Linked DNA regions of Diceros bicornis minor. The protein of the gene in region 2 binds, or shares a complex with, the protein of the main gene of each other region. Links are inferred from orthologs where the notes say so. Each region holds a gene or a part of one and is shown on either strand. Other genes may lie near its edges. The genes, in order: SCNM1, SRRM1, ARMC7 and SRRM2.

What was found.
Region 1: SRRM1 (region 2) and SCNM1 share a complex: the UniProt entries of both Homo sapiens proteins name them as parts of the minor spliceosome. The link is inferred for Diceros bicornis minor from reciprocal best matches to the Homo sapiens genes SRRM1 and SCNM1.
Region 3: SRRM1 (region 2) and ARMC7 share a complex: the UniProt entries of both Homo sapiens proteins name them as parts of the minor spliceosome. The link is inferred for Diceros bicornis minor from reciprocal best matches to the Homo sapiens genes SRRM1 and ARMC7.
Region 4: SRRM1 (region 2) and SRRM2 share a complex: the UniProt entries of both Homo sapiens proteins name them as parts of the minor spliceosome. The link is inferred for Diceros bicornis minor from reciprocal best matches to the Homo sapiens genes SRRM1 and SRRM2.

Annotation. Positions count from the first base shown.
Region 1 is NC_080743.1:55,452,050-55,459,555, forward strand, and holds SCNM1 (sodium channel modifier 1), read left to right. Parts: upstream 1-4,645; 5' UTR 4,646-4,684; coding exon 4,685-4,735; intron 4,736-5,004; coding exon 5,005-5,075; intron 5,076-5,313; coding exon 5,314-5,402; intron 5,403-5,502; coding exon 5,503-5,600; intron 5,601-5,718; coding exon 5,719-5,807; intron 5,808-6,488; coding exon 6,489-6,683; intron 6,684-6,827; coding exon 6,828-6,927; 3' UTR 6,928-6,987; downstream 6,988-7,506. Other genes in the region: LYSMD1 (lysM and putative peptidoglycan-binding domain-containing protein 1), read right to left, coding at 3,609-3,788. UniProt on the Homo sapiens protein: As a component of the minor spliceosome, involved in the splicing of U12-type introns in pre-mRNAs. Plays a role in the regulation of primary cilia length and Hedgehog signaling.
Region 2 is NC_080752.1:40,889,019-40,896,375, forward strand, and holds the start of SRRM1 (serine/arginine repetitive matrix protein 1), read left to right. Parts: upstream 1-4,349; 5' UTR 4,350-4,415; coding exon 4,416-4,436; intron 4,437-4,753; exon of another isoform or gene 4,754-4,808; intron 4,809-7,356; coding exon 7,357-7,357. UniProt on the Homo sapiens protein: Part of pre- and post-splicing multiprotein mRNP complexes. As a component of the minor spliceosome, involved in the splicing of U12-type introns in pre-mRNAs. Involved in numerous pre-mRNA processing events.
Region 3 is NC_080757.1:55,646,522-55,654,343, forward strand, and holds the start of ARMC7 (armadillo repeat-containing protein 7), read left to right. Parts: upstream 1-4,818; 5' UTR 4,819-5,189; coding exon 5,190-5,280; intron 5,281-5,371; coding exon 5,372-5,515; coding exon of another isoform or gene 5,516-5,547; exon of another isoform or gene 5,548-5,561; intron 5,562-7,822. Other genes in the region: SLC16A5 (monocarboxylate transporter 6), read left to right, coding at 1-552, 1,279-1,529. UniProt on the Homo sapiens protein: As a component of the minor spliceosome, involved in the splicing of U12-type introns in pre-mRNAs.
Region 4 is NC_080765.1:45,635,226-45,642,105, forward strand, and holds the start of SRRM2 (serine/arginine repetitive matrix protein 2), read left to right. Parts: upstream 1-3,868; 5' UTR 3,869-4,008; intron 4,009-6,880. UniProt on the Homo sapiens protein: Required for pre-mRNA splicing as component of the spliceosome. As a component of the minor spliceosome, involved in the splicing of U12-type introns in pre-mRNAs.

The DNA.
Region 1 (7,506 bases), on a different chromosome or scaffold from region 2:
TACTTTTGACCTTGTGGATCCCTGAAGAGTATCAGGGACCCGTAGGGATCCCTGGACCTCACTTTGAGAACTTCTATTAAAGATGAAGGAATTGAGGCTCAGAGAGGTTAAGTTACTTGCCTAAGATTATCTAGCAAGTTAATGACAGAGCTAGAACTAGAATTCTGGACCTTTTTACTCCTTCTGGAAATGCTTTTCTTTTTTTTTTTTTTTTAATTTTATTTATTTATTTATTTTTCCCCCACAGCCCCAGTAGATAGTTGTATGTCACAGCTGCACATCCTTCCAATTGCTGCATGTGGGATGCGGCCTCAGCACGGCCAGAGAAGCAGTGCGTCGGTGCCCGCCCGGGATCCGAACCCCGGGCCGCCAGCAGCGGAGCGCACGCACTTAACCGCTAAGCCACGGGGCCGGCCCCTGGAAATGCTTTTCACACTAAAATATTAATAATTTCACTGATCAAATATTTATTCAGTACCTACTTATTCATCATTGAACACAGTGACTGGCATCACCATCTACTGACCTGCCTCACAAGGTAGAAATATCAACGTCATCCTTAACTCATACTTTTATTTCACCACCCATTCCCAAGTGGTCAAAAAAAAATGCTGCAAAAATCTCTCTCACATCTGCGCTCATCTGCACATCTACTGCCATCACCTTAGAACAGATTCTTAATACTTCTCATCTGGGTATTGCCAAGCTTTTTAACTGGTCTTCCTCTCTTCATTTCTACTCAGATTCCACCCTGTCGACATCTATCTTTCTAAAAAAATTAATCTGATCAACCAAGTACCCTGCTTATAAACGTCCTACGGCTCCCCACTGGCTCAGAGATAAAATCTAAATTAGCATTCAAGGGCATCCTCAATCTAGCCCCCATGGGATGTCTAGCTGTATCTCTCTTCTTCTGCTATGTATACATTTTGCCATCCTGCACTTTTCGTTTTTCTTTGAACATTACATGATCTTCACACTTCTGTGTCTTTATCTGCCTGAAATGCTTCTCCACTATCCCCTTCTCAGCCTGGAAAACTTCTACTCATCAACTACCACTCCCTTTGTGTTACCTTCTTCAGGGCTCCCAATGCATACTGTAAATATTGCTGTAATCATACCTACCCTATTACATTGTTATTCACCTCTTTGCATATTTGTCTTGCCCAAACGCTGTGAGTCCTTTAAGGGCAGGGATGGTGACTTGCTGTCTTTGTATCCCTAAGGTGCTCCTCAGCATCGTACAAACTTGGCACACAGCAGAGGCTCATTAATGCTTTATGAATAAAGAAACTAGATAATAAAATACAGAAACCACAGATATAGTATATCAGTATTTCATTATCAGAGGCCAGGCAGCCAGTTTTACTCAAGATTCATCCCATATTGGCACCAGTTTGGGAAACCATATTTCTTATATCTGTCAAATATCAGAGCTGTTTCCACCCTGGGGCAAGACTATTATAATAAACTTGACTAATAAAATCTCATGCTACAATGTGTTTAAAAATAAAACCAGATTAATCCAAACAATAAAAAAAGTTAAAATTGGCTTGCAGTTTTGCACTTTTACTTTGCCAAGTGCTTTGATGATATTAATTTTATTTTGCCTAGATAATATCCTAGGTGCCTTCTAGCTCCAAGATGTTATGACTTAATCTGTGAATTTTCTATTGCTTTTATTATTTCCTAGAAGTACCCTATAAGGGGACATCATTCCACTTTTAAAAATGATGTAAGGCCAAGGCCAAAGCCCAGAGGAGTCCTAGGCGATCGAGCCGCAGTCTTTAAGAGCTAGAAAGGCCATTACAATCTAGTTAGTTTAACAGAGCAGATCAAAGTGAGGATTTTAGAATGAGACAACCTGGTCTGAATCCTAGCTCTACTAATTGTGTAGTCTATGGCAAGCTGTCTCCCTAAGCCTCAGTTTCCTTATCTTTAAAAGGGAATATTTACACCTACCTCATAAAGTCTTATGAAGATAATATGAGATAATGTATAGAGCTTGGCACATTCTAAGTCTTCCTTAAATGACAGGTAGGTAATAACTTAGATAATTATCATTATTTAATACATCTTCCTCACTTTACAAATGGTGAGGAAACTGAGGCACAGACGGGGAAGTGACTTACACAGTCCCTCAGCTAGTAAGCAGCAGAATGAGGTCAGAACCTGGAAGTCTTCTTCACTATACTACAGTTCTTCCGTACTGGAGGGTACAGGGCTATAAGGAAACCCCACAATTGTCAATGCACTAGTAGCACAGTGCCTTTCTTTGCATGGCTTCTGAGCCTCTGCTGGGATGGAGGGGCTGCTCAGTACTTTCACATCCACTTCCTTTGTTTAGGCCAAGCCCTCTACTTGAAATGGTCACTTTCCTATACTCCCAATCTCCATGAGCAGAAATCTTAGCCATACTTTCATTCATTCAAAAAACACCGATTAAGCTTCTATGTGCTGGGGACTATGCCAGACTCTAGAGATATAAAATTGAAAGGAAATATTTCGGTCCCTTAAGGAAAGTATAGGCTATTGGAAAGACAAAGATTTAGAAGGTACAAACAACTGGATTACATAGGTTTGTAGAGAGGAGCATAGAGGAAGGAACTTCTAAGTCTTTCAAGGCCCATCGTGATGGCTCCCTTCAAATTTGCACTGATGTCCACCCCCCGCCCCCTGCCAAATAAAAATTAATTTTCTTTTCTGATTTATCACCCTTTGTTAATACCTCTACAAACTCACCACATGCTGTCACCTACAATCATTATTTGTGTCCCTCTCCATTTCTCACTAGACTGTAAATTACATGAGGGCAGCAACTATACATTTTATTTATGTTTCTACCTCCCAAGATGGTTACCACAGTGCTTTAAACACAGCAAGCATAAAAATATTGGCTAAATTCAACAGGATATGGGGGAAAAAAACCCTCATCAACTTTAGTGCAATATATTTTTACACCTATCAAAAATACCCTATGCTTGACCTCAAATGCTTGGTGTAGAAAGCACCTGTTTTACATCAAGGAGGCCACCTAACTGGAAAAAAGAAGGCAGAGCATTGAGGAGGAAAAAAGAACAAGACAGAGACACTTTAGGAACTTAGAACTAAAACCCAGCGCTCCATTATCTGCTGTAAATGTTAATCACTCTCAATTAAAAAGTTTCTATTGGTTAATAGCACAGGCTTTGGAGTAAGACAGATCTGTTTGAATTCCCACTCTATAACACTCATTATTTATTTGACCTTGATCAAATTGGTTGACCAATCTAAGTCTCAGTTTCTTCATCTGTAAAAAGGGGGCAATAATTGCATGCTTGATAGGGATGTGAGGATCAAATGGGCTAAAGTATGCAAAGCCCCTAGTACAGTGACTGGCATAATAAATAGGAGCTGCTCCTCTCCATTGGGATAGTGGGACAGGATACGTCCCAACCAGAGAGTGAAACGCTGAGATGGGAAAACAAACAAAAAGATAGAAGTGGATCAGATAACACAACACAACTAGGAAAATTTCAGGAGAAGATGCCTAGAAGAGCTACTACATTCTGAGGAATAAAGCTCTTGTAAGAGAATGATTGTCCACATTCCAATCCTGGAAGACTCACCGTCACCCCGTATTTGAGTGCTAGTCCAGCTAGGGTGTCTCCGGGCGCCAACTGATGCTCCAAGCGTCTTTCCCTCACTGGGGAGCAGGCAGACTGCACCAGGCTTCCATAAGAACGAGCCCGGCTCCCTTGAAGCAGTCCTGACCCTCCGAAGGGGGCTTGTCTAGAGGGAGAAGCCATCTCCTCACCCTGCGGACAGCTGGGGTTGCAACTGCGGGAGGCCCAGCTAAAGTGACCGATAGTGACCGGCCGGGGGTCTGGGAACGGATATCCCGGGGATTCCTTTCCCCTTTTGTCTTCTCTCCTAAGTCTCCCCGCCTCCCTCCGGCACTACGCGTCCCCTCCACCCTCGCTTCTCCTCCCTCCAAGCCCCTTTCCCACAAGTCTGTACCCTGAGTATTCAGTCCCTACCTGAGTCTTTCCTTAGTACCCCCGCGACTTTCGACCCTCCACAACTTGCTACATTGACCTCTGACCTTTGAACTCTAGACACCCTCCCCAACACCGCTCAGTTTGCCCTAAGTCGGGCAGCCCGGCCTCTGGACCACCCCCACCCCCGCTCCGCCCCTTCCCGGGGTTGGTTCGCTAGGGTCAGGAACAAATCAGGCCCACCCCGGGTGGGCTGTCGCCGCAGACGAAGCACGTAATGATTGCGAGAGTTTGTAGTACACTTCCCCACAGAGGTTCTCAGAGGCCCGCTCCGCACCAAATCAATCACACCCTCAAATTCAGCTCCACATCTAATTTCTTGTCCCTCCAAACGTCTCGAACCTGCCAAGATACAAGGGCCTGGATCCGGCCGGGAAGGAAGCTCTTTGAAAAAAAGACTTCATTTCCCAAAAGGCACTGCGTCTGCGGGGTCGCAAGACACCATACGAGACGCAGCCCCCCTCGACAGGCTAGAGGCGGACTTTCGGGGTCGCGCAGAGCATGATGGAAGCTCATCCCCGGAAGTAAGTAGGCCAACCGGAAAGAGCCAAGAAGGAAAGGAGACGCCCCACTCTTGCTACGGTGGCCTGAAAGGAGTGCCGGAAGCGGTACGATAGAATTGATCGTTTCTGGGACTCACGGTTGTGATGTCTTTCAAGAGGGAAGGGGACGATTGGAGTCAACTCAATGTGCTCAAAGTAAGCGCGAGAGGAGAGCATCTGGAGCAGCTTCAGCTGCCTTCTGAAGGCTGTGAAGGAGCTGTTTTGTTGCTCTGACAACAGCTTGGGGCGGGGGGCGCGGGAGGGAGCCAGGCGTCTAGAGAAGGATAGAGACCCCTTCCTCGCTTATGATCGCTGTTCTCCGCATGATCCTTATTCCGTTTGAATCGTCGTCCCTATCATTTCCCTTTCGTCTTTCCCTCTTATCCCACTGATCCCGTCCGGACTTCTTCCCGTATCCCCTGCAGAAACGAAGAGTCGGGGACCTGCTGGCCAGTTATATCCCAGAGGACGAGGCGCTGATGCTACGGGATGGACGGTGAGGGCGAGAAGTGGATCAAACCTGAGGGTTCTGCGGTTAGAGGCTCAATAAACTTTTGTTATTAAAGAGGAGAGCGGGAGTACCTAGGGTTCTCTGGCGGCGAGTGAGGGCCAGGGATGTGGGTGGTGGAGATTGGGAGACTTGGGTGTTGGGCTTTGGAAAGGACTGCTAGGACAGGGTGGAACCTACGGCAGAGACCCCACTCCCTTGGGACCAATTATCTTCTTCTCTCCAGATTTGCTTGTGCCATCTGTCCCCACCGACCTGTACTGGACACCTTGGCCATGCTAACTGCCCACCGTGCAGGCAAGAAACATCTGTCCAGTAAGTTTGAGGGAATATAGGAGATAGAGAACAAACTCTCAGAATCTCTGCAGACCACTCTTGGTGCTCTGTTTTTAATTCTCTTCCCCTTTTCCCTCAGGCCTGCAGCTTTTCTATGGCAAGAAGCAGCCAGGAAAGGGAATGGAGCAGAATCCAAGACAGCAGAATGAATTGAGGAGAGAAGAGACCAAAGCTGAGGTAATCAGAGAGGGGAGGGTGTGTTCCGGCAGGACTCTGCTGCACACCTTAGGCTTGAAGGGTTTGGGCTTCTTTCGAGCTCTGAAGGCTCTGACTCTGTCTCCCATCTCCATACCAGGCTCCTCTGTTAACCCAGACTCGACTTATCACCCAGAGTGCTCTGCACAGAGCTCCTCACTATAACAGTTGCAGCCGCCGGAAGTACAGGTCTGTGGGTGGGAAAGCCAAAGGTAGGGAGGGGCAGAAGGAAACAGATGGCTCTAAAATTATTGTTTTCTGAATTGTATTCTGAGGAATACTTGGGTTCTAGAGATGTTAACTGATATTTCAGGAAAAAGAGAATTTTGTAATTTTTTTTGTGTGTGTGAAGAAGACCAGCCCTGAGCTAACATCTGTTGCCAATTCTCCTCTTTTTGCTGGGCAAGATTGGCCCTGGGCTAACATCCGTGCCCATCTTCCTCTACTTTATATGGGACGCCACCACAGCATGGCTTGACAAGTGGTGCAACGCTCCATGCCTGGGATCCAAACCTGCGAACCCGGAGCCGCTGAAGTGGAGAGCGTGCACTTAACCGCTGCGCCACCGGGCCAGCCCCAAATTTTGTAATTTTTAAAAAATAGTTTGGGAAATGGCACTGTGTAATCCTACTTGAAGAATAGTAATATTTGTATATTTTAAGGGCTCTACAAAGCCTCGAGATTAAAAAAAAAAAAATTTAACCTAGCCTTTCCTAAATTCATTTGATTCTAACATCGTTTTTATGCAGAACACTTATTAACATCTTGAGGAACACAGATTAGGAAGCACTGTTGTAAGGGGTTGGGAGTCACAGGAGAATTGGCCCTTTCCTCCACTGCTTTTACAGACTTCGATTCTTCTCTACCCAGACCAGAAGTCCCTCGTTCTTCCGTCTCCCATTCCCCTTTGCCACCCCCAGAGGTTGAACTCCAAAGTGGGCAGATCAGTAGAGAACTTGAGCCTGGGGCTGGCCTACAGGCCAAGGAGTCAGCAACTGTCTCATCCCCTGCACCTATGAGCCCCAAGAGAAGACGAGCCTTGGACCATTACCTCACCCTTCGAAGGTGAGTATGCAGAATCACTTTCCTCAGATGTTCTGTTTCTCTCTGATCTTCCTTTTTTCAGACCTTTTTGATTGTTTTTCCTTATACTCACTAACTTCTTAAACCTCCTTTCCTGATCAATTCTATTTTCTCTGATATTTCCAGCTCTGGATGGATCCCAGATGGACGAGGTCGATGGGTAAAAGATGAGAATGTTGAATTTGACTCTGATGAGGAGGAACCCCCTGACATCCCCTTGGACTGACACCCCCCTCTCCCCATTCAATTCAAATAAACTACAGTGGGCACTGGGAGCCTAACTTTCCTCGAGTCTAGTTCCTTGTCCCATTTCAGGATTTCAAATCTGTTTATTCTCAGCCCAGCCAATCCTTCCCTGCAATGCACACAGCTCCCCATACTTCTAACCCCTCCCCCACCTCTGGCAAAGTCATGCCAAGCGTCAGCTGCATGCAGCCTAGTGCCCTATTAATAAGTCTGTCAGAAGGAAGTCTTTGCCCTTCATGTTGTCTTCTTCCCCATTTCCACTCAAAGTCCTTTCCTCCTTCGAACCACATGAGGGTTGTGCATAGGCACTGGGGGGCCTGGCCACATCTGGAAACAGGGCCAAGGCTAGGTACCCTGTGAAAGTAGAAGAGACTAAAGGCATTGGCAGGATTATGGGAAACATCAAGGGAGGGAGGTCCCCCACCTCCTCCTAGTAACTTGAACCTCCCTGCCTGCTGATCCCCAGAGTATAAATAATCCCCTGATGAACTGGCAGTAACCCTTGGGGGTTAGCGCCAAGATTCTCACCCCAAAGCCCAAGGCAAGAGGCATGCAGAGT
Region 2 (7,357 bases):
GCTAGAAATGATTATTAGTGAGTAAGGCGTGTCAAAAGCTGAGACAGGCCAAAAGCTAGGCCTCTTGAGCCAGTTAGCCAAGTTGTGAATGCAAAGGAAAAGTTCTTGAAGGAAATTACTCCAGTGAACACATGAATGATAAGAAAGCAAAACAGCCGTATGGTTGATATGGAGAAAGTTTTAGTGATCTGGATAGATGATCACACCAGCCACAACATTCCTTTAAGCCAAAGACTAATCCAGAGCAAGGCCCTAACTCTCTTCAATTCTATGAAGGCTGAGAGAGGTGAGGAAGCTGCAGAAGAAAAGTTTGAAGCTGGCAGAACTTGGTTCATGAGGTTTAAGAAAAGAAGCCATCTCCATAACATAAAAGTGCAAGGTGAAGCAGGAAGTGCTGACGTAGAAACTGCAGTAAGTTATCCGGAATATCTAGCTAAGATAATTAATGAAGATGTCTACACTAAACAATAGATTTTCAATGTAGACAAAATAGCCTTATATTCGAAGATGATGACATCTAGGACTTTCATAGCTAGAGAGGAAAAATCAATGCCTGGCTTCAAAGCTTCGAAAGACAGGCTGACTCTCTCTCTCTCTCTCTTTTTTTTTTTTTTGGTGAGGAAGATTAGCCCTGAGCTAACATCTGTTGTTAATCCTCCTCTTTTTGCTGAGGAAGCTAGGTCCTGAGCTAACATCTGTGCCTATCTTCCCCTATTTTATGTAGGACCCCTGCCACAGCATAGCTTGATGAGCAGTGCATAGGTCCACACCTGGGATCCAAACCTGTGAACCCCAGGCCACCAAAGTGGAGTGTGCGAACTTAACCACTACACCACTGGGCCGGCCCCTGGCTGACTCTCTTGTTAGGGGCTAATGCAGCTGGTGACTTTAAGCTGAAGTCAATGTTCATTTACCATTCTGAAAATCCTAGGGCCCTTAAGAATTATGTTAAATCTACTCTGTCTGTGCTCTATAAATGGAACTATGAAGGCTGGATGTCAGCACATCTGTTTTCAACACGGTTTACTGAATATTTTAAGCCTAATGTTGAGAGCTATTGCTCAGAAAAGATTCCTTTCAAAATATTACTGATCATTGACAATGCACCTGGTCACCCAAGAGCTCTGATGGAGATGTACAATGAGATTAACGTTGTTTTCATACCTGCTAACACAACATCCACTCTGCAGCCCATGGATCAAGGGGTAATTTCAACTTTCAAGTCTTATTATTTAAGAAATACATTTCACAAGGTTTTAGCTGCCATAGATAGTGATTCCTCTGATGAATCTGAGCAAAGTAAATTGAAAACCTTCTGGAAAGGATTCACCATTCTAGATGCCATTAAGAACATCTGTGATTCATGAGAAAAAGTCAAAATAACAATATTACCAGGAGTTTGGAAGAAGTTGATTCCAACCCTCATGGATGACTTTGAGGGGTTCAAGACTTCAGTGGAGGAACTAACTGCAGATGTGGTGGAAACAGCAAGAGAACTAGAATTAGAGGTGGAGCCTGAAGATGTGACTGAATTGCTGTAATCTCATGATAAAACTTTAATGGATGAGGAGTTGCTTCTCATGGATGAGCAAAGAAAGTAATTTCTGGAGATGAGATCTTCTCCTGATGAAGACGCTGTGAAGACTGTTGAAATCACAATAAAAGATTTAGAATATTATATAAACTTAGTTGAAAAAGCAGCAGCAGGGTTTGAGAGGATTGATTCTAATTTTGAAAGATGTTCCACTATGGGTAAAATGCTATCAAACAGCATTGCGTGCTACAGAGAAATCATTTGTGAAAGGATGAGTCAGTCGATGTGGCAAACTTCATTGTTGCCTTATTTTAAGAAATTGCCGCAGCTGCCCCAATCTTCAGCAACCACCACTCTGATGGGTCAGCAGCCAGCAACATCAAGGCAAGACCCTCCACCAGCAAAAAGGTTACGACTCACTGAAGGCTCAGGATATGCAAGTGAATGTCAGCAGGAAGTTGAAAATATTAGGTCTGGGGCAGACTTGTGCCTGAGATATACAGGTTTGGGAGATGAAAAGATAATTGAAACCAAGGGTCAATGACAGAACCTCAAGGAAAACCAGCATTTACAAAATTGGCAGCAAAAGAGCAGAGACAGTGAAGGAAGTATAAAACAGAACAACCGATCAGAATCATAGAGAACAGTCAGTGAGATGTGGGGCACTGTGATTTCATAGTTGTTCTATAGAAGCCAGCCACTTCCCCTAACTTTGACCTCTGACAAAGCTTTCATTCAGCAAATTTTACTGAGCCTACACTATGGGCCAGACACTGTTCTAGGTGTTAGGGACACACCAGTTAACAAAAAAAGACAGAAAGCCCTGACTTTCGCGAGCTTAAATTCTAGTGTGGGGAACAGATAATAAACAAACATTAAAAATAGATAAACAGGGCTGGCCCTGTGGCTTAGCGGTTGAGAGCACGCGCTCCGCTGCTGGCGGCCCGGTTCCAATCCCGGGTGCGCACCGATGCACCGCTTCTCTGGCCATGCTGAGGCCGCATCCCACATACAGCAACTAGAAGATGTGCAACTATGACATACAACTATCAACTGTGGTTTTGGGGGGAAAAATAAATAAATAAAATCTTTAAAAAAAATAGATAAACAAATATTTGGCGATAAATGCGACAGAAAAAAAGAGGGTAGATTAAGAGGCATCTGAGATATAGAAAGGGTGTGTGAGCAATTTCCTAAAGGGCAGTCAGGGTAGGCCTCATGGAGTAGGTGACATTTGAGTAAAAACTTGAAATTTGCCAAATAGATATCTCGGGGTAGAGCATTCCAGGCAGAAGTTACCAGCAGCACCAAAGTCTTGAGGCAGGAGCAAGCCTAGGAAGTTGAAGCAGTGAGCAGTGTTAGGGTACTAGGAGACGAGATCAAGGAAGAAACGTGGGGGCATCGGGTAGGATTTTGGCTTTTGCTCTGAGAACAAGGAGGGACTATTAGAAGGTTTTGAGCTTAGGAGCGACAGGTCTAAGGTTTTCTAGTAAGATCCCTCTGCTGCATTTAGGATAGACGCTGAGTGGCAAGGGTAGAAGCAGGCAGACGGCGAAGAGGCCAGCGCAGAAGTTCAGACAAAAGATGACGGTGCCTTGAACCGGGGTTCTAGCAGTGGGTTTCCCGATGGCTTAGAAGTAAGAGAAAGAGGAGTCAAGAGTAACACCAAGGCTTGTGTCCTCAACAAAAGGAAAGATACCGCCATCAACTGAGGCAGGGGAGGCTTCGGGAGGAGCAGGTCGCATCCGGGGGTGGGCGGCGGTGAGACCAGGGTAGGGAGGAACCAGTTCAGTTCCTGGTCATGTCAAGTTTGGGGTGTCTATCCACACTCTACGAGTTTGAAGTTGGGGCGAGAAGTCCGAGCTGAAGAGAGAGGGCAGTCGTCAGCAGAGTCGGTATCTAAAGGCACGAGAGAGAACAAATGTAGTTTCAGGTGTGATGACTGTCCTGAAGAAAAGGCAGGAACGGGGGACGAGTGTTTGTGTGGGCGGGCACTTGACAAAAGACGGCCACGGAAGGGACACAGGCTTTCTCTGAGAAAGAAGGCGCTCGGCGGGAATCTGGCGCCATCCTCCCGCGCTGGAGGCCCCCCGACAGGGCAGGGCTGAGGGGGCCGAGGCCACGCCGCGGGGCGGCTCGCTGCTTCTCCCGCAGAGCCCTGCGGGGGGCCCGCTCATCGGCTTCCCGCCCGTTAGCGCGGTTGCCAGGCAGCCGAAACCGAAACTCTTCTAATGGGCATTTCCAGCTTCTCCCGAACACGACCGAGTTGTGTGGGGATGGGGGGAAACTGGGCCGGAACGCAGATTTCACTGAGACTGCACCGCTCTACTTTAGAGCCGATCGTAATAACCGGTAAACTCGTAAAACCAACACAATCACAATTTTCGCAATGACAGCGGAGGCCGCAGGCTTCTCTTCTGCGCACCGGCCGCCTCCCCAGCGTCACTCTGAGGTAACAGCCTTTCTCCTCAATCGCTCCACGGAACCCCCAGGGCGGGAGGCCTCCTCCACTACGGGTCGAAGGAGGGCTCAAGTCACGCTGCGCGAACAGGGCTGGTCCAGCGCCACAAAAGGATTCGCAGGGCGGGGCGCCCCGACGACTCTCTCTCTTGCTCCCATTGGCTGCGGTCGCGAGGCTCTCCTCCCGGACTGGCTACTGCGGAGCCTCGGAGCCCGGCAGCTGCCCGCCATCTGGGCGCGCGTGCGCACGCGTGGCGGGCGCGCACCACACTGAGCAGGCGCGGCCTCGTGTCGGCTGGAGGGGCGGGCGGAGCGGCGCGCGCTGCGTCCCGGCGCTCGGCTTTCCCTGCCGGTCCCGCCCTCCGTCGCGGCGGCGCGGTGCACCCTGGGACAGGGAGCGATCTCCGAGCGAGGCAGCAAGATGGACGCGGGATTCTTCCGCGTAAGTAGAAGCGCGGGGACCTGGGGTGAGGTGAGGCACTTACTGGCGAGGCCTGGCAGGAGGCTCAGACTTGGGACGGAGCGGGCAGCGAGGGGAGGCTTCGAAGAGCCTGAGGATCCTCGGCGCCCGCGGACGCCCCCCTGCCCTGCGGCGAGACCGGTGCGCCCCTGCGCAGTCTCCTCCTCCGGGATCGTCCCCCCTACGCGGCGGCGACGGTCGCCGGAAAATGGCGGCGGGAATGGGCCGGAGGGGCCCCTCGCCGTCCGCCGGCCTGGCGGGGCCTGCACGCCGAGCCGCGCGCGCCGCCGAGTCCCGGGCCTAGCGGAGCCGCGAGGAGGAAGTCCGGGGGGGAGGCCGCGGGGCAGCCCGGAGGTGACTGGCGGCGGGAGGCCCTGGGCACGGTTTGGGGGTGCCGCCCCGGGAGAGCGTGGTAGAGCACAGGAAACAGCGTCGGGCGTCTTTTCTTGAGAAAGCGGGCCCCGACCCCCCTCCCCCGCCGGCCTCCCCCTGGTCCTGAGCCTTCGCGAAGGCGCGGGGTCAGAGTTCGCGAGAGCTCCCGCCCAATTTAATACCCTGCGGGGAGGGGAACTCAGATGATACGTAGTTGGAACGTTTGAATCGGGGACTGAGGGCAGAGGGCGCAACAAAAGTGTGCGCGTGTGCGGAGGCAGGGTACAGGGTGATCGCCTCCTCTCCTTCCCGCTCGCTCCCTCCCCCCCTTCTTTCTTTCTTTTTTTTAAACTCTTGAAGTCCGCTGGAGAAAACGTGCCTCTTACCTAGGTTCTGCCGGGCTGCTCGCCCATCACCTGCAGGCGGGGAAGTTACCTCGCCGCGCGTAGTTGGTCCTCAGGGGCCAGAGTATCAGGCTCGTGCTGGCGCCTGTTTGTCTCGTCTTTTAGGAAATGAGCACCCAGTCGAGATCTGGACGGGTGCGAAGTGGCACTAACAGGACTAGACTTTGCAGATTCTCTTAAAGCACAACGGACCACATAGAGACCAGTGGGTCCAAGTCAAAATGTATGCTTTATGTAGGGTAGGGTTGTCTCTTTCCATTCCCCGGAGCATATTATGCAGTTTGTACGTGTGTGTTTAAAGGAAAAGTGGAAGAGGGGAACACCAGGACTTGGTTAAGATATCTCTTGACACTCCAAAGCTGGCGTTGAAATTCCTCTTTAATTGGCTTTCAGTGTGCCAATTAGTTTTTCATCAAAAGTTGGAATGTTATTCCCATAGTTGACTTAAAACAGCCAGTTATTTGACGGTTCTTAGGTTATGCAAACAGTATTGTAGTTATTTATGTAATGATAGTTTCAGTTGAGAGAGCTTATCAAATTATCACACTGCGGATGAACACTCCATTTTGTAATTTCCATCAAAGTATTTTGTAGTAAATACTCAATATTTCCTGGGGTCTGAATGTAATAATTTGAAACAAAAGCCTGTGATTTTTTTGGTTGTTTCCCATGGAAAGGAGTTCCGGTAGAAAAAGAGCAAGGTGGTTGATAAATTTAAAAATGAAGTTTGCTTTTGGTGTTGGTAAAAGTCTGAAAGAAAAGGATGCAGTTTTTTATATACCGCCTATAATTCCTTAGATGAGTTGACTGGATGTAAGCTTCGAGGTAAAAGATTTTAGGGTAGTTATCTTTTTAGTACAGTGCCAGCCAGGGTAGTAAACTGACATTTTCGGTTAAGATAGAAATGATAGATTAGAAGTGATGGATTGCATTTGTTGAAATCTGCCACATGCCAGTGACTTTACATGTATCATTTCTGATATACACACTCCTGCAACTAAAGAAACATCCTCAGAGAGGTTAAGTAACTTGCTTTGAGGTCATATGGCTTAAGTAGTGGCAGAGTTGAGATTCTTATCCAGGTCCTTTACCTTCCCGAACAAAATTTTCTTGATCACTTTCCAAGGGACAGTGACCAACTCAGTGAACCAATCAGTAGATTTTGTATCAGATGGCTAGTTATTTCCAGGTTTAATTGGGCCAGTAGGAATGACAAAATGTAGACTAGTGATCACTTGATGGTCTAATGTAGTATTTGTAAGTTCTTATTTTTCCAAATTTTTCGCTGAAATTGATTTTATGAAGGTAAACCTATATTTTTCATGCATTTCAAGTTCTTAAAGTTGTGGAAAACTAAACACAGCACAGGCCTAGGGAGTTTTTTCCTTTTTCCCCTTATATGCATTGCCACAATAATTTTGCAAACATGCTACTGGCTTTCAGAAGAGGATGAAACTTAACGGTCTTGTTTGAAGGCATATGTTAAGCGTAGTAAATATTACAACATGTTCTCGTTTATTTTTTTAAGCAATTTTTATTGAGGAAGATTGGCCCTGCGCTAACATCTGTTGCCAGTCTTCCTCTTTTTTCCCTTTTCTCCCCAAAGCCCCAATGCACAGTTGTGTACTATAGTGTAGAGTTGTAGCTCTTCTATATGGGACCCCACCTTAGCATGGCCTGATAAGCAGTGCGGGGGTCCACGCCCAGGATCCGAACCAGTAAACCCAGGGCCGCTGAAGTGGAATGGGTGAACTTCAACGGCTGTGCTGGCCCCAGTGTGTTCTCATTTAAACCAAACAGCCTTAAATCTCCATTAGCCTAGAAAAAGGTATAGAAAGATGCACATCAAACTTGGTTGTGGGGGAGGTGTTAGCATTATGTTGTATGCTGCTATATTGTTTGACTTGTTACAATGAGCATGTATTTTGTAATTTTTAAATACAGTTTTCAAAATATCAGCTGCATTGGGAAGAGAGTATACATTCTGTACCTATGAATATTAGCTATGGTGTTTCTATTTACTTGATTACCCTATTTCGACTGTAAAGGTCATAGCCATCAGTAGCTGATAAAAAGTAGGAATTTAACTTTGAACTCTTAATTAAAATGTATTTCTCTTCCTGCAGG
Region 3 (7,822 bases), on a different chromosome or scaffold from region 2:
GAAAAGGCCTCCCTCCACCTTCCAAGACACCTGCGCCCGGCTGCCCGGCAGCGTGTAGCCGGGCCATACAGCGCCACCTGGCCTTCGACATCTTGCGGCACAACACAGGCTACCGTGTGTACACGCTAGGTGTCGTGTGGATGATCGTGGGTTTCCCGCTGCCGCATATCTTCCTGGTGCCATACGCCATACGGCATGGGGTGGACGAGCACCGGGCAGCCCTGCTCATCTCCATCATCGGCTTTAGCAACATCTTTCTACGGCCCATGGCTGGGCTGATGGCAGGCCGGCGGGACTTTGCTGGCCACCGCAAGTACCTGTTCAGCCTGGCAGCCCTGCTCAACGGGCTCACCAACCTGGTGTGCACAGTGTCGGCTGACTTCCGGGTGCTGGTGGGCTACTGCCTGGTGTACAGCGTGTCCATGAGTGGCATTGGTGCCCTCCTCTTCCAGGTCCTCATGGACATTGTCCCCATGGATCAGTTCTCCAGGGCCCTGGGCCTCTTCACTGTCCTGGAGAGCATCTCCATCCTCATCGCCCCACCACTGGCTGGTGAGGCCCTGGGAGGGAGGGCAGTTGGGTGTGCGTGGGTGTGGCCTGGGTGGGCAGGCTATGGGGGTGGGACAAAGGGAAACGGTCTGGATAGATTTGGGCCCCATCCAGCATCCCAGAGGTAGACTTGGAATTTCTGATTTTCCCAAGCACCCCAGGGGACTGGCTACTGCCTGTCCCCCAACTGGTGCTCAGGGTATGAACAGTTACAAATAAGGGTCTTTGGTACCAGACTTACCTGAGTCCTTCCTCCTCCTCTTTGTACCTATGTTTTCGTATCAGCAAAGTGGGGATGGTCATAGAATCTACCTGGTAGGCTTGCTGTGAGGACTGCAAGTTACACAGTAAAGAGCTTGGAGAGCCTGGCACACTGTGAGTGCTATGCAGGAGGAGGTTGGGGTGGGCCCAGTGCATGACTGAGCAGATACCCCAGACTCCACTGGCCCTTGTGTCCTTGGTTTCCTGCCACCAAGGGTGAGGGAGACATGCCCTTCAGTGTTCTTCCAGCCCGAGAACTCTTCCAGCCTGGGCCAGAGCAGGGTTAGTGTTTCCTCTCCTTTCATTCAACAAATTATCTATTGAGAGCCTACTAGGTCCCAGCCACAATTCCTAGTACTAGGGATACAGCAGAGACAAAAATAAAATCCCTGCTCTAGCAGAGCACAGTGTAGTGGTGAGGGGGCTAGTAGCCCCAGGCAGTGGCCTAACTTGCTGTCTGTCCCCCAGGGTTCTTCCTGGACATCTCTGACAACAACTTCAGCTATGTTTTCTACATGTCAAGCTTCTTCCTCATCTCAGGCGCCCTCTTCATGGGTGGTAGCTTCTGTGCCCTGCGGAAGAAAGAGAGGCAGGGCAGGCAGGCCGAGGGGGAAGGAGCCATCACGGAGGCTGCGCTGGAGCAGACCCTCACCGTGGAAGGCACAGATGGTTCCAAGAAGCAGGTGTACACTGAAATCATGTATGTGACCAGCCTCTGAGCCCTGGGATCACATGTGTGACCAGCATCTGAGCCCTGAGGTCAGTGAGTGACCACTGCCTCAGCCCAGGAATGGGATGTCCAGCTGCCTTGCCAGGAGCTGGGGTGAGAGCTGCCCCCAGGAAGCCTGAACCAAAGGCGATCCAGGCTTTGCACGTTGGGACTCAGCCAGGAGCTGGAACCTTGGAGGCTGGCCTCCGAAGACTCAGGGTTCCTTGCAACTAGCAGAATCCAGGAGCGGGTCCTCCTGAGTTTTATCCTTGGTACCAGAGTACCTGGGGCCCAGGAAGTTGGGGCTGAGCCCTGCTCCCGTCTGTCATGGCCAGGTCAGCTCAGCTGGCTGCCCACTACTGCTGCTACAGCTCAACACACTGGACCTCCTAGTCCAGCCCGGATGCCTCTGATGTGATCTCTTTGTCCTTCTCCGGCCTCCAGACAGTTCCAAAGAACTCACCCGTCCTCTGAGGCCCTTCTGTCCCCCTCTTCCCAAGCGACCCGGCCCTTGCCCTTAGAACTGCCTCCAGAACAGGTTGCTGTGCCCCACGTTGACTGGAACCTTGGGAAGAAGGGCCTTGTGAAAGAAGGAGTTGTGGCCTGCAGCGGTGGAGGGCCAGGCTAGGGTTTGGACAGATTAAATCTTTGGGTAGAGTGCCTGTCCTGGTGTCTGTGCAAAGAACTGGAGGAGAGCATTGGGTCCTAGAATCAGTGAAGTCTGAGAGGTCCCCCTGCACACTCAGCAAGGTCTGCTTCAGGGTCTCCCTCCCTCTGCCCCACCCTCTATCTTGGCTGGGAAGATTAGTGCCAGGGTTGGGGGAAGCTAGACATTTGACTGACCAGGGGAGGGGCAGGATTGCTGGGCAGGGCCCAAGGACCTCTGTGAAAATGGAGCTGCTTTTTGCAACAAAAGCCCTTCCACTCCCCTCTCCTGCCCTTCTCTTCTCCCTCCTATGTCAGAGGTGTCATCCCTGGGGTAAGTAGCTGGCTGGGACAGCTGTCAGTCCACCCCTGCTCCCTGTTGGCCTATGCATGTGGCCTGGAGGTCAGAACCACCCCCCCCACCCCACCCCCCCACCCCCGCCAACACACACACACTGTTTTTCCTGGTGCCCTTCCCTGAGCTCATCACCTGGGGGCTGGCTGTCATCAGCCCAGGCTTGTCCCAGCAGGGTACCAACAGAGGGAATAGAAAAACAGAGTTTGTTTGAATTACACACAAAAATGTTTTCTGCAGCAGGTTATATAAACCCTGTGAACTAATGAAGCTGGAAAACAGGCCTGGAGTAAGTTTCCCCCTCCCCCTTCAGTTCTCCCAGCTCAGCAAGGGCTGCACTCACCCAGAACCTTATTTGTTGATTCAAGCTCAGCCAGGCTCCAACAAGAAAACCTTATCAGGAGAATTGATTTTATTTTCATGACCCGGCTCCAACTGGGATGAGTAAGCATCCTTGGGGATGTCCTGTCTTCTCCAGGACCCTGTCATGAGTGCCCCCTTATGGCGAAAGATGGTAGTGCAGAGGTGAAGCAAAGGGCTCTGGGGTGGGATAGACCTCAGTTCATGTTTGGCTCTGCCACAATTTGCTCTAGGACTTTGGGCAAATTGTTCACCATCTCTGGGCTTTCAGAAAGGAGGAGGTTGGCCTGGATAAGCACAAGTCTCTTCCAGTTTGAAAAGTCTGACCCCCATTGCCTTCCTGCTCCCCACCCAGTCCTGCGCTTGGCCACCAGCCACAGCTTGTGCACTGGAGGGGGAATGCTGGGACACATTTTACCAGGTCTTGTCTCACCTATCTTAATTGAGTGGAAGAGGAAGGAGTTGGGGCTGGTGGGTAGGTGAATGCTTCCAGTGCTAGCAGCCATCTGGCTTTGAAATGTGCATCCTCTAATAGGCCCCTATCCTTAAAAAAAATTTCTTTTAAGGAAAAAAGATATCAGTGAACATTCAGCATAGGGGACTTTGAGCTCATCTGCCCTCGGGCAAGAGTGGCAATAATCTCTGGGCAGAATTCCTTCAACAAATATTTATTGGGCATCTACTGTGTGCTAGGGACTGGGCAGAGAGGAGTAAGACCTGGTTGCTGCCCTCAGCACAAAACCAGGGACTGAGAATTATTCCCCAAGGAGGGCCTCTGAGGCCTTGGCAAGGAACAAATAAGGGAGGATAGGGTGACCCATCTGATGCCAGAACCCACACTTAGCTGATTTCCCGGAAATCCCCTAGAGAGGGTCTGGAGCAGTTCCTGAGCAGCACAGGGTGGAGCTCACTGCCATCCTGTCCCCAAGCCCTGAGCTCCTGGTCCCCAGGCCTTCGCTGCTCTGTCCAGCCAAAGGCAGAGAAGCCCCCTGATACCTTGGGCTAAGATGTACTTCCCTAGGTCACATCAGTTCCCCAAAGAAGCTGAAGGGCCTGGCGAGGGGCCTGGGGCCACCACCCCCATGGAGCAGCCACAGTACCCAAGCACCCAGACTATGGTCATAACTCCTGCCCCAGGGGGCATGCATAGAGCAGGGGCTGACCACAGGGACCTAAGCCCACAGAGGTGGGGCCTGTGGAGGCTGGAGTGTGGCAGCCACTCTGCCCTCATGCCAGGCCCAGGAACAAAGGTACATGGGCCTTGCCCTCAAGAAGCTCACAGCCCAAGCCCCTTTAACCCCTACATTTTCAAGCATGGTTGGAGTGCAGCAGGGCCACCTCTCTCCCTGGTGCTCTATTCCCTGTGCCTACAGGGTCTCGGTCACACACCATCTTCCTGAGAGGCCCGAGAAAGAATTAGGCTGAAGGGCTTCAGCATTCAAGGCTGCACAACCCAGAAAGCCGCTAAAGCGGTGCATTTGGGTGAACTGAGGTTCCTACGGCCCGTTGGTGCTGCCCCAGCGCTCCCCGTCCACCTGGCTGACAAACCCAGTTCCGGAGACTTCTGGCCAGAGGTGGCGGACTCAGCTCGGGGCTGCGGAGCAGACGGTTTTTGCAAAAGCCGAGCAAGAGGTAGTGTCAAAGGACCCATCTTGGGGGCGCAGGGAGCCGAGCCCGCGTCCCTTGGTCGAGGAGGCTGAGCTGCGTCTTCTCCTCAGGTGCAAGGGGGTCTGGAGATGCTTCTGCCTCGACAGCCCCCCACATGTACACCCTCCGCCGCCTCTGAGCTCCCAAGGACCCTAGAGGTGCTCATCAATGCATACATAACTCTCCAACGCCCTTCGCCGCGACCCCGGCAGTAAGGCGAGAAGCGGAACGCGCACGCGCGCCGAGCTCAGCACAGGCCCCGCCCTTCGCCCGCTTCAGCCCGCCCCTTCCGCCCTCTGGAGCGGAGGTAAGCGTGCCTTCCACCGGAAGCCCGGAATCGAGCTGAAAATCAAGCCCAGCGGAGGAGTGCTGCGTACCGCGACTACCTCTTCCAGCGCACAGCGCAGTCCTTGTCTTTCACGCCGCAATTTAGATTTTTCACGCCCAACTCTTACAAGATCCTGAGGCCCCACCCCATCCTCCTCATCCCAATTCCACCTGCAAATTACTGCATAACCTGAACCCAGAAAAGGAAGATATTTCGCGCCCCGGTCCGCCCTTACCCTTATCGGTAGAGGCCCGGACAGGTTCTCTCCCGGCTTTTCCGGCCTCACCTCCCACACTCTCCTGCCTGTGCGCTGGAGGTCCTCCGCCTCCCCGACCATGGCCCAGAAGCCGAAGGTAGACCCCCACGTTGGGCGCCTGGGGTACCTGCAGGCGCTGGTCACGGAATTCCAGGAGACGGAGAGCCCAGGTGAGAGCGGCAGGATGGGGTCGGGACGGGGCGGGGGTCTGGCCGCGGCCGCCGCCCGGGACCTGGCTCCAGTTCTGCTTTTCCGCTGCAGACGCCAAGGAACAAGTCCTGGCCAACCTCGCCAATTTCGCCTATGATCCCAGCAATTACCAGTATCTGCGGCAGCTGCAGGTCCTTGATTTATTCCTCGATTCGCTGTCGGAGGAGAATGAGACCCTGGTGGAGTTTGCTATTGGTAAGGATGGGGCTGGGCCCCCAGATGCCTGATGGGCTGTGGTGAGGTAAGTGAGTGAGAAGTGAGTCGTTGGGAAAGGAATCTCTTAGGCAGTCCCTCAGCTGCCAAGGCAGACCTTCGCGATGTCTGTGCCGCCTCCGCGGTTCACGCATCGTCCAGGTCACAGCTAGCTTGAGTCAGGTCTGGAACTCACGCCCAGGACTCCCTCTGCCTGTCTGCCTTCCCTCCTGCTTAGAGATGAAGTCATAAAGGAGGGAATGGATTGAAGCCAGTTGGAGGGAAAAAAGTTTAAAAAGTGATCCTTCAAACATCTTTATTTTAATGTTTTACTATCAAGAACAGCAGAGGTAACTTGGAATGTGTAGCTTATGGTTCGTGTAGTTCTTATGGTCTAAGACCTGTTGAATTATTCACTGGACAGATATTTATTGGGCATGTACTGTATGAGCAAGGTACTGTTCTAAATGCTGGTGAGATGGTGAACAAGTTGGGCAAAGGTCTTTGCTCTCAAGGAGCTTCCATTCTAGTAGGGGAGACAGATGGTGAGCAAACAAAAAAAAAAAGCTGAGGCTCTGAAGGAAATAAACAGGGTGATGAGACAGAGCAGTCGGAGCTGGGGACTACTTCTGTTTGGGCCATCATGGGAAGGCATTTAGGGAAAACCCTACAGCAGGAGGAGCCAGAAGGCTGGAGTGGCAGGATTGTGGTGAGTGAAGCGGGGAGTGGTAGAAAATGAGGTTCGAGAGGTCATTGGCACCAGAGCTTACAGGGGCTTAGAGGTAGGCCATGGGAAAGAGTTTGAAATTTATTCTGAGGGCAAACAAAAATTCTTTTTTCAGCATGCATGTTTTAAAAATAACATTTCTCTACATAGTGAAAGGAATCTTATTCATGTAGGGAAAGAAACCTACCTTTAATAATTCCATTATTACCTAATACACAGTTATGTGAATTTCTCTAATAGTTCCCAAAAGGACATTTTGTTTGTTTGTGTAAGCCGGGATCCAATCTGGGATCCATGCATTTCATCTGGTTATATTCCTTAGATCTTTATCTCTCGCTCTTTTTAAATAAACTTTTATTTTAGAACAGTTTTAGGAAAATTGCAAAGATAATACAGAGAGTTCCTCTATGTGCCATACCCAGTTTCCCCTCTTATTAACATCTTAGTGTGGCACATTTGTTACAATTAATAAACCAATATTGATAAATTATTATTAACTCTACATTATTATTAACTCAAGTCCATACTTTATTCAGATTTCCTTAGTTTTTCCCTAATGTCCTTTTACTGTTCCAGGATCCCATTCATACTACATTACATTTAGTTGTCACGTCTCCTTAGGCTCCTCTGGGCTGTGTCGGTTTCTTAGACTTTTCCTTTTTTTTGATGACCTTGACAGTTTTGAGGAGTACTCGTCAGGAATTTTGTAGATTATCCCTCAATTGGGATTTGTCTGATGTTTTTCTCATGATCAGGCTGCATTATGGGTTTGGGGAGGGTGACCCAGGTAAAATGCCAGCCTCGTCGCATCATATCAAGAGTACATGCTGTCAATATGACTTATCACTGTTGATGATGACCTTGATCCCCTGGCTGAGGTAGTATTTGTCAGGTTTCTCCGCTGTAAATTACTCTCCCCACCCTTTCCATATTGTGTTCTTTGGAAGGAAGTCACTACGTAAATTATCTTATATCTCTTTTAATCATTAATAGACTTTTTTTATTTTTTATTTTTTATTTTTATTTTTATTTTTTTTATAATTTTATTTATTTTTTTTCCCCCCAAAGCCCCAGTAGACAGTTGCGTGTCATAGTTGCACATCCTTCCAGTTACCGTATGTGGGACACGGTCTCAGCATGGCCGGAGAAGGGGTGCGTCGGTGCGTGCCAGGGATCGAACCCAGGCCGCCAGCAGCGGAGCGCGCACACTTAACTGCTAAGCCACGGGGCCAGGCCAGACTCTTTTTTTAATATCACTAATTGTGGAAGGATCCAGGTTAGTTCTTCAGTTCTGCAAAATGTCCCACCTTCTGAATTGTCTGGTTGCCTCTCTTGGGCTTTATTTGGTTTGTTCCTCTATCCCCTTCCCGTTTATTTCCTGTAACCTAGAAATTAGATTGAAGGCCTTGGTAGAATCAAGCAACACTTTTTTTTTTTTTTTTTTTGCTGAATACATCATAGGTAAGTGTAATTTAAGTTTTTGAAAGACCATCCAGGTCTGCCCCTGTGTTTGTGATATCTGGGGCTAGAGTACAAATGGGCGTTGGCCTACCTTCTCTTCTCACACACGTGTGTGGACATCC
Region 4 (6,880 bases), on a different chromosome or scaffold from region 2:
ATAGTGGTGATGGCTGCACAACACTGTGAATGTACTTAATGCCACTGTACACTTAAAAATAGTTAAAATGGTAAATTTATGTTAAGTACATTTCATTACAAAATACTACACTGAAATAACATTGCTCGCCATAACTCAGCAGGTTAGCAAAAACTGAAAAGTATAGCAACCCACTCTGTTGGCAAGGCTGGGAAAGCAGGTCCTCTCACATTTTGCTAGTGGGAATGCAAATTGGTGTAAGTCTTACTGAGAGGAGCCTGCCATTACTAGCAGGACTACGTGTCTTTACCTTTTGCCCCAGCAATCCCACTTCTAGGAGTTTACCTTGAAGATACACCCCCAACAATATGAAAATACACATGCTCTAGGTTACTCACAGCAGCATGGTTTGTAATTACAAAATATGAGAAACAACTTAGACGCTCACACATAAAAGAGTGGCTGAATACAAGTCCACGGACACATCTCTGTGCGCTGCTGTGGAGCGATTTCCAGGATACGTAGCGAAGTGAGAAAAGGAAAGTGGGAAAGAGTGATTATAGTGTGCTCCTGTGTGAAAAAAGGAGGGCAATTAAGAAAATGTACATTTGCCTCCTCCCTTGAGCAACAAGACACCTCGGAAGAAAAAGCAGAGAGGGTGAGGCTGATACCAGAAGGTAGAGGGCAGGAGTCGCACAGAGAGGAGAGAGGGAGCGGAGGGGTAGACACCGCTCTGAATACACCTTCTCTTACAGACCTGCCTTTTGGAATCCTGTAACTGTTTCACATATTTGAAAAAAGTAACTAAAATCTCAAGGATGGGAGGAAAAAAATCCTAAAGTTTAACACAAACACAAACAAATGAACCAAAGCATATTTCAAATGAATAACACACATAACATAACACAAATAACATAAACACACTCAAGGGTGAGAAAAAAATAAAACCAACTACCTCAAGCAACTTTTGAATATAGCATTTAGAGCATATGCCCTCAGGCTAAAGACAAAAACCTCTAAACAAATATTGACCTATAACAGGTAGGCTTTTTTCTTTTTTGCAGATGCATGGATGAACAATTCTGAAGCTACTTTTTGGAATTCTAGGATGGAGCACATAAATGAATATACTGAGGAAATGGAAGCCAAGTTCCTCATGGTTGGAGGATGGCGTTACAAATAAAGAGAGGGGAAAGGATAGAATGAACCCTGTACCCTTAGATTCGAATTGGAGATATAACTCATGGATGTATATATCTCATCCATTTCCCAGCTCTATCGTCCAAGAAGGCCTATAAGTAATGATGTTACAGTGACTATAAGTCTACCCACTACCCAGATCTTGGTTTCTAAATACATTTGCTCTAGATCCTTTTTTTTTTTTAATAATTTTATTTATTTTTTTCCCCCCAAAGCACCAGTAGATAGTTGTATGTCATAGCTGCACATCCTTCTAGTTGCTGTATGTGGGACACAGCCTCAGCATGGCCGGAGAAGCAGTGCGTCGGTGCACAACCCGGAATCCGAACCCGGGCCGCCAGCATCAGAGCCTGGGCACTTAACCGCTAAGCCACGGGGCCCGCCCACTAGATCCTTTTTTTTTTTTTTTTTTTTTTTGTGAGGAGATCAGCCCTGTGTTAACATCCGCCAATCCTCCTCTTTTTTTGCCGAGGAAGACGGCCCTGGGCTAACATCTGTGCCCATCTTCCTCCACTTTATATGGGACGCCGCCACAGCATGGCTTGCCAAAGCAGTGTGTCAGTGCGCGCCCGGGATCCGAACCAGTGAACCCCGGGCCGCCGCAGCGGAGCGCGCGCACCCAACCTCTTGCGCCACCGGGCCGGCCCCTAGATCCTTTTTTTAACTATTAAGGGTAGACTAGAAATTTTACAACAGAGAAACCTGGTCGACCCCATCTTTACCAAAGTCAACTTGGTAGAAACGGAACTATTGGGCAGCATACATCTCTTCACAATATGCACAGAGAACACAGCATCACCTCCATGGTCTTCCTGCCAAAAGTGAATAACCTGAATCTAAACACGACGAAACATCAGATAAACCCAAATTGAGGGACACTGTACAAAATAAATGGCCTGTAACCTTCAGAAATGGCAATGTCATGAATTACAAAGAATTAGGAACTGTTCTAGATTGAGTCTAAAAAAGACATGATAAGAATGCAACGCATGATTTTGAATTTTCTTTTCCTATAAAGGATATTATCAGAACTGATGACATCTCAAAAGGGTCTGTAGATCACAGTACTGTTTCAATGCTACTTTCCTGATTTTGAAAGCTGCTGTGGCAATGTGAGGAAATTCATTGTTCTCCCCATAGAAAAAGGAGAATAACACCTACCCCACGGAGTTGCCGCGAGCATTAAATGCGCTGACTCACCTACAGAATTTAGCACAAAATATTCAGTAGACATAGGGAAGAATATCAGTGGGAATTAGGTTACAGGAAGAGGCCTCAGTGGTGGCGGTGGGTTTTAAGAAACCAGCACCCCACACCCTGACCCTCAGAAATAGCAGGTCCGGCCCAGAAAGACCGAGGCTTTGCCATAAGAGTCTCCAGAGGTGCGTCCAGCTCCTGGAAGGGGTACCCAAAGGTGCCCCAGTTCACGGAGGCAAGACGGGAACCATCCCCTGGGCAGTGCAGGCTCAAGTTTCTGCTCCTCCACAGAACGGCGGGTCCCCGCTTCTAGCCCCTGAAGTGAGTTCATCCTCCCGCGGGCAGGTGAAGAAAACTTTGTCATATCAAATACAGCCCCTCAACCTCACACGGACCACAGATCGCCACGTGTCCCCCGTGTGCGGGGTCCTGTGGACAGTGCGCGCCCTCCAGACACAGGCGGCTGAGCCAGTCCACGTCGGCCGGCCAGGGGGGGCATCAGGCCAAGACTCGGGCCTGAGCAGCCCAGCTTCTTCCAGCTCTGCTCTCAGGGAGACAGGCTGGTTCTCGGGCTCCACAAAACGCACTTAAAAACACTAACAGGGGACATTCTGCAGGGGGAGTGAAAAATTCAAGGGTGTTTGTAATGTATTCCTCCCGCCACGGGTAACACGTCCCAGATTCTGCAGGAGGAAATCGCGTCGCTGCCGGGCCGCCTTACCCGGAGGTCATAGAAAATTATCCCCCAGGGCAGCCGCCCGGTCAGCACCGTCCGCGTGGAAGCTGCAACCACCACGGCAGGCTGGCTCGGCCTTTGCCTCAGGCCCTGGGCCTGAAGCTGGGATCTGAGGTTCCGGGGGTGCCCGCTGGCTGGGGTCTGAGGGGCCTTCTCCGGGTGCGGAAGGCCGAGGGCGGCGCGGCCGCGGGCTCGCCCCGTGGAGGCCCGCGGTCACACGGAAGCAGTAGCTCCCCTGTTCGCGGGCCATCGCCTCCCAACATGGGAAGACAAAATGGCGGCCGCGCCCCGGGGTAAGGGGGGGGTGGTGGCCGCAGCTACATACGGGTTCCGTGCCACGCTAGAACTACAACTCCCAGAATGGTTTGGGTCGAAGGCGGGAGGCTCATGTGCGCTCTGGCGTCACTCGATGTGGCGCGAGGCTCTGTGTCCTCTCCCCCCAGCGGAAACCCTCCGGAATACGTTGTCTACTCTGGTCCACTACCCAGCCCTTCCTCGCACTGGCCGACGGGACTTGTAGTTCTTCGTCAACGAAGTTGAACCTCCTTCCCTCCTTAAGAAACTACACTTCCCGGTGTAGCCTCGGCGCCTGCGCACAAGACCACGGGGCGTACTACGGTTCCCGGCGGGCCCTGCGATGCGCGCGGCTGCGTGCTGACGCGCTTAGTTGGTCGTGCTGACGTGCAGCGCTGCTCAGGCGGGGTGCGAGTGGCGCAGTCGGAGCCCGCTGCGGCCCCTGAGGAGGCTAGGAGACGTCGGTGTCGGCTGAGGCGGTCGGACCGGCGAGGCTAGGCGGCGGCTCCAGGCCCCGAGGGAGTCAGGAGCTCGAGCGGCGGCAGCAGCAGCGGCAGCACCTCTCCCCTCGGAGGCGGCGGGCGGAGGCGGCGGGTGAGAGGGTGAGGGAGCGCGAGAGCCGGGTGGGGGAGGGGCGGCGGCCCCGGCTCCAGGCCAAAGCGAGCGGAGAACGGCCCAGGCCGCCGCGCGCACGCGCACTCACCGCCCTTAGCTCGCGCTCGCTTGCCTGCCTCCCCTCCCCCTCTCCGCTTTCCTGTGGCGCGCGGGGTTTTACTCTTCTTCCCCTCCCCCATGGCAACGGCGCGCGCCGCCGACTGCGCTCCGGCTCGCGCGCTCTCGGTAGGGAGCGGGGAGCGCGCGGCTCGGCTCCTCGCTCTCTGACGCGTGCGGCCGAAGAGGCCATCCGGCAGCTGCCCTTTCCGACATTTTTCTCGGCGGGGAGAGGGTGGTGGCGGGCGCCTGCTCCTGGGTCATTTCCCCCGCGCCTTTCGTGTTTGGCTTCGTCTCCTTTTTGGGGCCTGAGGCCCGGCCCGGAGCCTCCCAGACGACGGGGCACCGCGCAGCCCCCTCCCCCATCCCACGAGGCCGAAAATAGGCCTTGGCGGCCCGGCCAGTGCCGAGAAGGCCTATGAACTAGATGGCCCGGAGATTTAGAGAGTTCGGACTCGTTACTGTTCGCAGTGAAGTATTAGGGAGAGCAAAGCCCCAAACCCTGAAAAAAACACGATTACGTAGTCAGTCTGGGTATGTAAGGGCAGACCATGTGCTCCTTTTTTCCTGGAGCTTTTTCGTTATCTTCTTCAAAGTTGTGTTAAAGCGAGGCAGGAGGCTGTTGGAGCCCGTCCTTGGGAAGAAAACCCTGGACTCTGTTTCACGCGTTATTTGGCACACAGCTCTTCTGAGCCTTGGTTTCCACTCACACTTATCTAAGTAAGACGTCTTCTGCACCAAAAATTCAAAGAGTATATTGTTGTCTGCTCTCAAGTGTGTGTGGGCTTAGGTCTCTTCCTGAGCTAATATTAGCTTTCTGGGTTCCCTAGTGCCCACTCAGCTGCTACCGTGCCCAGTGCTGAGCTTGCTGTGCTTACCTATGTCTGTTTTCCTGCACACCCCCCTCCTTCCTTTTTGGTGCATTTCTTTTGTTCAGTAGCTTAATGTTGAATTTCATGATTTCTTTCTAATTAGTTTGACATCGTGATAATTTTCCAACACAAAAAATTGTATGTTTCTTACTTTTACTTTTTGCTTGTAGTTTGGGTAATTTGTGCGTGCTCAGTTTGCGGACCCCAGTTTAAGAATCCCTGTCTCATAAAGTTAACCTGCTTTTGGTGATTAGTGTGTGTGTTGGTCCGTCCTTCCTCTTCCGCTTAGTGTTTTGGGCACTGCCTTAGATACTGTTTTTTTTCTTTTTTTTGGCTCATTCCCTAAATGTTCTCCAGTTCGTTGGGACTTAATATTTTTTGCTTAGCAGCTACTGATTTTCCCTCCCTAGGGAGTGGGAGGATTTTCGTGTGAGGTGGTATGGAAGTGTGGGTGAATGATTAAAATGTAGAATTAATTGTGGGTCAGAAGCATTCAACAAGGGAAGCTGAAATTAGGTGGGGTATAGAGAGGCAAAGAAGGACCTAGGTTTAGAATGGGGAGGATTGGTATTTGAGAAAATGAAAGTGAGGCTTGGAAGATAGAGAAATTGATTTCTTGTGCTATAAAGAAGTTTTTTGTTTTTTCATGCATTTCTAGTCGGCCTTTCCTAGATTTAGCCTTATTTGTCACACCTTTACCTTGGTATGATTATCTTTCTTTTCAGTTCTCTCCTGAGTCTGCTACTGGGATGCGGGGGGTGAGGGGGTGGGTCCAAACTGTTTTGGAGTTGAACTGTCAGCTGTCTCCCTTCCATATACGCACACACAGAGAGGTATTGGCTTTAGTGCTATTTTTCCATGTATTTGTATGATGTTTCTTTATTCTGGAATTTTTAAAGTGTAGCCTTCTCTTTTATCCATTTCTATCTTTTTTTCTCTCTGCCTTCTCTAATCTCTCCACTTTATTCCTTGAGTTTTTTCCTGGGGTAGTTTTCCCTCGCACATTTATGCTCTGTGAAACTATCGTGGACAGGATGAGTTGGAGAAAGAAATAGAGTATGTATAGCCAAGAAATCTACCCAGAAAAGCTGAGACTTCAGGGCTCTTCAGTGTCGTGCTGGGGTTGAGAGGATAGAACCTGGTGGGAGGCATGGAGATAAAGTGAGAGGGATATGGCAGGGCTAGAAAAGAAAAACTAGGAAGTGAGATACAGGGGACTCTTAGGGAAAGCCAACAGTTTAACATTAATGAAAGTGAGGTAAAAAGAATGGGGGTTTTCTGAATAAGTTTAGGGCAAGGAATGTAGAAAAGGTATGGGAATAGTTGGAACAGAGGCTGGTTTGGTGTGTTTGGAGCATTGAGTTGAAAACAGGTAATATTTAACAGGAGCTAGTGAGACTTGGTTGAGCTGCAAATCATGTGCGAAATTCTATTGGGAAGGAAATTGAAGGAATATGATATCAGTCAGGATAGTTGATATGAGCTATAAATATTTGGAACCAAGGAAATGGCTTCTTACCTGAGAGTGAAGTATAAGAGCGTTAGGTATCCAAGGTTCATGTGTGTTTCTGATGTTCATGCTGGCCTTTAGTTTGGATGTGAGGCTGCACAGAACACTTGAGTTTATCTTAAGAACCAATTAGTCAACCTGTTTGGGTATTTAGGGGCTGTTTAGTCAGTTTGTATTCATAACAGGGTAGTCTGAAATCCTTAGGGTAGTTCTTGGAAGAGCCTTTGGGCTTGGACTGCAGGCCCTTGGGTGCCACATATGTTTGTTTGGTGTTTGTTGTGTGCCCTGTTTGGAGGCCTCAGTCAGTTGCCAGAGGTTAGGAATTAGAGTAGTTGGTGAAGACACCACTTGTGCATATTGGGGCCAAAGGAGAATAAAGGG